2 linked regions of the Bombyx mori genome follow. The main gene of each other region encodes a partner of the protein of the gene in region 2 in a complex. Links are inferred from orthologs where the notes say so. Each region holds a gene or a part of one and is shown on either strand. Other genes may lie near its edges.

Region 1 (3,818 bases), on a different chromosome or scaffold from region 2:
ATTTAGTACACAAGATCGCGCGGAATCAATTTCAAGTAAGTGATTCCAAACTTTTGCTCGCGAGTGTAGTAGATGACAAGTTCTGTGAATGCATTTTTATCTTACCTACTCTATTTTAATGCCTTCTTAAATGTATGTTAAATCACTGTAGATATCCTGTTCTCATCTAGAAAACTACAACACATAATATCAAATTCAATTCAAAATTTGCACGGCAGCCAAGCTATACGGTCGCAAATTAAAAAGAATCTAGTTGTGCATCAAAACGGTATGAGTTCACCTCCAGATCTTACTTAAATTATAGGGCACAGTCAGACAGTGACTCTTTTAATCTCAGATTCTCTTACTTAAATCTTTCTGTTATTATATTATCTTTAGAACTTTTGGCAAGCTATTTCATTGAAATATGATTCACTTAAAAAAAACAGGAAAAATTCAATTTTTTTGTTGTTTCTACCTACAGTAATAATTAAAATACCCTTAGTCATATAAACCATACAATCTGAGCAATTTGCATCATCAGGTTTTATGGAATTAATCACTAAACAAACAGGATTAAACACATGATACTTTTTAATATCAAAATGTTGATTCCAGGCAGAAAGATCGTGATCCTATTAATTATTTATAGATCATAATCGTCGTCTTCTCTTTTCCGTTTGTGGCTCATTGGCTCGTCTGTCTCCATCTTGATAGGAGCCTGTGAGGAAGGACCAGCTGTCACTCTTACAGCTGGTTTTACTACCTGCAATATAATTCATTGACATTTAAATATTGTGCTAACTATGAAATGTCAGAAATAATGTAAAGCAAATAAAAAATGAAAGATTAAAATTAGTTTTAATTTATAATGTAGATTTCAATACATAATCAGATATAATAAAAAAAAATTGTGACGCAATTTTGATATTATCAAATATAAGTTGACATTTAATTAGACAAAATAGATATTTCGTTTTGTTTATATCATAATATAGATTATCAGTTTTCAACATTTCAAATTATTGTTAGGAAATAAAGAAACCACTTTTTAATAGTTCAATCTGTGATGAATATGATAAAGCATAGTGCTGTCTATTTATCTATTCTATAATTTTAAAATTAAACCAAATTCTTACTTTACTGCTTGATGAAAATTTCAGTACAGGTTTTGTTCCGAGACTGGTTTTTGGGGTGCCCACATTCACAATTGCTCCCGGTGGTCTCTTCATAACAACTGTCTGTTGAGGTGCTTTGGATGTGGTGACCGTTTTTATGGACGGGGAAGGGGTTATCGTAGTTTTTGTGATCACTTTCTTGGTTGCTGGTTTCAGTTTGTAATTACAGGATGACAGGCAGTAACTGGAAAAATGAATATTCTCTGTAAACATGCAGCGATTTACAAGTTAACCATATTAAAAGGCTCTGGGTGTTAAGGGAATCTCATGTTTCACACAAAATTAATCAAAATTATTCCATAATTTCCTTTGTTAGCGGAATTGGTCCATAGTGTATTTCTATTCATCATTTTTACTATTATACCAGGCTCCCAAATGCAACCATTGGTGTTTATGGAGTATTCTGACATTATTTCAGTAAGGTTTGAAGACTTCTTAGTAACAGGCAGTATTGAAGTATCAGTAACTACTTACAAATTGTAATAAGACAATCTGTCACCTAAAGATATTGTTTACAAGAAGACTTTACTGAACTTTGATTGTGAACACAATATTGTTGCAATCAATTCATGGTGCGCAAATTACATACGTGTGGTCTAAAGTGGAGTATTTTTCCCTCAAGTCCGGTGATTGAACCTTGAGCTATTTAAGCTAATCCTGATTTTTGAAGAAATTATCTAAGTCCATACTCACGAAAGATTAATATAATGTGCTGTGAGATATAGGATTAAAGTGTGCTACATTTTCCAATACTTACCGATCCGGAGGCAGTCTTAACCCGCAATGCGGCTTTATCAACGGCAAAGGATTAACATTCTTGACCCTCGCGATCTCCAGTAGCACTTCACGGGGCGGGGGATTCGTGAAGGACTTGTCCAATTGCATTTGAGCTGACAGTCTCACATCATCAAGATCTATAGTTTTCTTTTTTGCGTGGTTTGCAAATATCCTTGCATCATCTAATACTGATGTAACGTAGCGGTATGTGAATTCTAGGAGCTGGTTCACGACTCTCGGTTCATAGTCAGTGATACCTACTTCCTTCATGATGGACATGATGACTTGGGCATCTTTGGGAATGTGCTTAGCTTGACCACCCGATTTGGATTTGTCTTTCTCTGACATCTTGTAGTTTTATTTGTTATTTTAATTTTAGACCGAATTATTTCTGATTTGTTTAAAAATCTTTTTCTTAGTCATAGTATTGGCATACTTTATTTTGGTAACAATGCTATAAAAACAACACTTGTGCTGTGATTGTGACAGATCTATGTTGTTTGATGACGATTGTCAAGTCAATTCAAACTGTCAGTGTCAGCCATTCTGAGCCATTGACATCTTCATTTCAGAACACATTTAAAAGTATATCTCTCTATGGTTGTTGTCAGAACTTGGAAACAAACAAAAAACTGGTGCGCGTATAAAACTTGGTGCACGTGAAAGAAGTGAAACTTCAATTTATCTCGAGAAATAAGATTAACTTAGAAAGAAGTTGTTACCAGTATTCGATGATTACCGAACGAGTCCTTTGGTTTTACAATAATAATATGTTTAGTGATAATTACTTTTATTTAAAATACCGCCTTCTGTAAATAATTTAGAAACTAAACTGTTCACACCGATGGTCTTGCAATGTAGTAGTTAAACGAAATCCAATAGATGTCACTAAATTAAAAAACGACCTAACTCGCTTTGCCCTTTCCCTCTCTCCACGGTTGAGTGGTTCACAAGACGCCCTACCTATTTTCTTACTCTCGCTCTTCCTAAATTGTATCTTTTCTCTCTAGCCGTAACGAATCTGTCGCGAGTTAAATTTCACTCTCAACGCGCCTAAAGAAGTTTTACTTCAAAAAATATATAATGAATTCCTTTTTTCTTATTTATTTCGTTCATCAAACAGCTGTACAGTTAGTTAACAAAACTAACTAAGTAGCTGGTTTCAATATCTCTACTTTCAATACCTTTATCTTTAAACAAATGTAAACGCTTATCCCGCACTGTCTTACGAAAAAAATATTACCTAGATATTAAATTTCCTTTTATGCATTTACATTCAAAACAGAAATCATTTTTCTTATTTATTTATCTTAATTAAAGTACTCAAAATAAAAAGATATATGTATGTATATTATTTTTCGGCAATATTGTAACAAAATGAAAAACTGGTTTGTATTATTTGGTTCATTTAATTTTAGGATTTTCTTAGATTTAGAGAATATTAATATTCATTTATCAACCGTCTATAAACTGTGAATTGAAAAATAAATTAGAATAGATATCCATAATCTGGTTTTTTTCTGCCGCAAAACAGTCAAGCGTTCCCGTTTGATGTTTCTTTGTTCTGTTGGAATTTAAGCAATTGCTTGCCTTTCGACAAGTTACACAAAAAAGTTAGATATCCACTTAATAACAGTCTGGCAGGTTTTTTTACTAAGATAGCCAGTTCTGATTAGCGCCATGTTCAGTTTATTCATTCATTCATGAGACAGTATCTTGGAAGTAGGACTATTTTAACGATGGTGAATCAACAAGAATTGTTTCTAAAGTCACTGAAGGTTGACATGGATTTTGAAGGGTATTAAATAAATAAAACATACAACTATAATAACCATTTCGATTTATTCAGTTAAAATATGAAATAACTTACGTGTACAGTAAAAA
Region 2 (3,656 bases):
TATAGAAGTATTTTTAAAGCTTTTAAATAAAAACTTGTTTATTTGCGAACTTGAATAAAACAGTATACTTGAATCTGATTTAGATCTGATATATCTATAATATAATGTATGTCTTTGTATGTAATTTATCTATGTAAATCTGATATAAAAAAATGTTCATAGATATTTAATCATTTCACTTGGCTATTTTTGGACTAAAAATTAACGTAATTTTAAATGTGGCTTTCATGAAAAAAAAACATTACATAGGGTAGCATTCCAATCGCAATCTATGTTATTTTTGGAATAAGAGGGTATGTATGCCGGGATTCTGCTGGCCCGATTCTTATGATTATTTTTGCATCGCAAAAGGGGGTCCCTGGACAATTTCCAATTACAATTGGACCCGTTAAGGCTTTATTATTATTATCAGGACAAGACAATTGCCGGGCCCACCCATGATAATATATATTCAATTCTTATAATGACATTATATGGAATCATCACAAGTAAAATCAAAACCGAAAGGTTGCGATAGTAATTCTTCATCAAGAACAGTGTATGATACATTTCTAGTTCATTTTTCGAGGTCCACAATGTGATTGAGTTACAAAATAAACACCATTCAGCATACTGACTAAAGGTAAATGTAGTGGAAAGTGGTTAGCTGATGGTCTGATAACATACCTGTATCAACTGGTACCTATGCTCAGACGGATAGCAGAAACCATGGCCGTTTTCTAATTACAGCAAAAGAGCGCATTATGCGGCATAATGCTCAACTATGCTTCAGCATAATTCGGCAATTAACCATTACTTAATGGTAGTTTTCCAATTACAGAGCATAATGCGACTCAGTGACGCACAATGCCGAATTATGCTGAAGCTTAGTTGAGCATTATGCCGCATAATGCGCTCTTGTGCTGTAATTGGAAAACGGCCCATGTAGCGAAAAAATAATGCTACGGTAATCTATATAAAAATATTGCCAATTTATAGAAGAAAAAAAATTTCTTCTGTGTTTGATCATTGATATTCTTTTTGTTCATTAGCTATTGAAGATCTTTAGACATTTTTTTTGACATTGTTTATTTTCTAAACGTCAATAAGAAATAAAGAAAATGTTATACAGTACCCGGCGATAAATATTGCACATCGACCGTGGGAAAGAGATGGTTAATTTTTGCTTTGTAGAGCGTTATATGTGTCGCACATTACCTAATTGACATTTAATCTCCATAGATACGGGATCGTTGGTGTTTCATCGCACACAGATAACGCTCTACAATAATAACAAAATTAGACGACAGTCTCTTTCTAAATATCGATGTGCAATATTTATTGCCTGGTACTGTACCTAGGTATATAAAATTAATCTAAATTTTTAGGTGTCAATAAATATGCGCGAATATCGACAATCACTGACCGGACATGAGTAATAAAAAGTTCAATAGGAAATCAACAGGACGATTCGTGTATAAGACGTGACTGACTTGTAGTCTTCGGGTTGGTCGGGCGGTTGCCGCAGTTGTCGGACGACAGGGGCCAGGACTTTCAGCAGCTGGTGCTTGAGGTTGCCGGCCGCCAGTCGGTCCGCGCCACCGATACCGCTCAGCGCGCCCTCCACGCGCTCTCCCAACCAACGCACGCGCGGCAGAATGAACACCTGTAAAAAAGGCGTCATCTTACCAGATCTAACATGAATCGCCAGATTATCACGCCTACGCAGGGTCGGATTGAAACATAATACTGCTCCTCGGTACCGGAAAAAAATCTGCTGGTAGGACCTCTTGTGAGTCCGCGCGGGTAGGTACCACCGCCCTGTCTATTCTGCCGTGAAGCAGTCATGCGTTTCGGTTTGAAGGGTGGGGCAGCCGTTGTAACTATACTGAGATCTTAGAACTTATATCTCAAGGTGGGGGGCGCATGTACGTTGTAGATGTTTATGGGCTCCAGTAACCACTTAACACCAGGTGGGCTGTGAACTCGTCCACCCATCTAAACAATAAAAAAAAACCGTGCCAATACTGTAATTTTACCTAAATTTATAATTTATATATTTTATTTTTCAAAATTAGGATGACTAATTTATTGCGGAAACTTTATCATATGTCATATATTTCAAAAACATAAATAAATATATATATTTTTTTCTAACAATTACAAATTTTGACTAAGGGTGACTCATAATTATATTTCATCAAAAAAAATAACTAATTATATTTCTTTAATTATAGAAAATAGAAAAATCGATTATTATTTTAAATCTCCAAGGAAATAAATTGATTAAACCATTTTGATTATTAATTTTTACCAAAAGTGCCAAAATTATAATTGACAAATAATGGATGAATTGAATTTCTTGAATTATCAATTAAAAAGGAAATTATTAATTATTAGAATTAATTAATTATATTGAGCAATCTTGATAAAACTAAAAAAAAAAAACTAAAAATTTTGCCGCCCTAAAAAATATGCCGGCCTGGGCACTTGCCCCGACTGCCCCTAGTGTAAATCCAACACTGCGCCTACGTGTCTGGGCCGCCGGTACACAGCCATCAAATTCAACTAAAAACCCGGCGTGCATAAGTTAATTCACGCACGACAATGTTTAACGCGCCTATGTAGAGGGCGCTGCGTGACGGCGTCAGTGTGCTTAGTGCGAGTTTTTTAACGTTCTCGATGGCGTAAAAGTTAGCTTATATTCGTACAGAATGGGATCTTTTGCATACGTTTGCCACTAGGGGCGCTGTTCCAACTGCATACAAAATTGGGCTAACTTTCACGCTATCGAAAACGTTAAAAAACTCGCACTAAGCACACAGATTACTCACTTTAACGACTTCGGGGCCCAGCTCTGCCAATCCTTGCACGGCTCCATACAGCGACGCGAGAGGAGTCTTCTCCGATTCCTTCATGCTCGCCATAGAAGGACCCGTTTCGTTGTTTGTTTGTGAAGGGCACTGGAGGGCTTTCGCGAACAACCTGAGCGCAAAGAATTTTCGTATAGTAACTACCAGATACATTGTGTGACTTTAAAATTTATTCAAATTAAAATACCTGGTGACTCTCGTTTGTAGATTATTGGTTGAAGTATTGAATGTTTTGCATATCTGAGCCATGAGTCGCGCGGCGAAATCTCGCAGGGCCCAGTGGTTATCCATCTCGGGACGAAGGCACAGCTGTCGTGATACTATGCATGTCGACACGGACGGAATCAACTCGTGTAACTGCCCAAACAATACAATTTACTTATTAAATCTGCAATTACCTATAGACATGTATGAGTATCAAATATTGAAGCGTGGCCGTAGAGAGAATGGCCTATGGACTCTTATGCCATGGTCTAGATTGGACAGATAACATTTTGTCTAGAAAATACGCATCTAAGACGTGTTTACGAATGAATCCTACAGTGCAGGAATAATATTGGTCTCCTCTATGATCATAAAATCTAAACCTCCAATTTTATGATGTGCAACTGCGAAACGAGTGTCAAGACGTATTAGTGGGCATGCACCGCCTTATTTTTATTAAGCAGTATCGTTTTATTCGTCGTTTAAGCGACATTTCGTTTAATACGCGACACATTTAATTTTATCTTTGTAATTCGGTGTATTCGTGACATTTATCTTTGTAATTCGGTGTATTGTTGTAATCTTGTATTATGTTCGGTT

Evidence for each region. Proteins that work in one complex are often made in the same cells at the same time.
Region 1: the proteins of transcription initiation factor TFIID subunit 6 (region 2) and transcription initiation factor TFIID subunit 9 are in contact, whole or in part, in a crystal structure (PDB 1TAF), measured with the Drosophila melanogaster proteins. The link is inferred for Bombyx mori from reciprocal best matches to the Drosophila melanogaster genes Taf6 and Taf9. Residues at the interface, in NP_524161.2 of Drosophila melanogaster: Gly18, Ser19, Ser20, Ile21, Ser22, Glu24, Ser25, Met26, Ile29, Ala30, Ile33, Val35, Ser37, Leu38, Ser39, Asp41, Ala42, Glu45, Leu46, Asp49, Val50, Ser51, Lys53, Leu54, Lys55, Ile57, Val58, Gln59, Ala62, Gln71; in NP_523391.3 of Drosophila melanogaster: Lys20, Asp21, Val24, Ile25, Ser27, Ile28, Leu29, Glu31, Leu32, Val34, Glu36, Tyr37, Glu38, Arg40, Val41, Gln44, Leu45, Phe48, Thr49, Phe50, Tyr52, Val53, Thr54, Ile56, Leu57, Asp58, Lys61, Thr71, Ile72, Asp73.

Annotation. Positions count from the first base shown.
Region 1 is NC_085109.1:1,357,218-1,361,035, forward strand, and holds transcription initiation factor TFIID subunit 9, read right to left. Parts: upstream 2,479-3,818; 5' UTR 2,283-2,478; coding exon 1,915-2,282; intron 1,342-1,914; coding exon 1,119-1,341; intron 746-1,118; coding exon 626-745; 3' UTR 556-625; downstream 1-555. UniProt on the Drosophila melanogaster protein: TFIID is a multimeric protein complex that plays a central role in mediating promoter responses to various activators and repressors.
Region 2 is NC_085121.1:11,006,965-11,010,620, forward strand, and holds part of transcription initiation factor TFIID subunit 6, read right to left. Parts: intron 3,210-3,656; coding exon 3,040-3,209; intron 2,965-3,039; coding exon 2,814-2,964; intron 1,646-2,813; coding exon 1,473-1,645; intron 1-1,472. UniProt on the Drosophila melanogaster protein: TFIID is a multimeric protein complex that plays a central role in mediating promoter responses to various activators and repressors.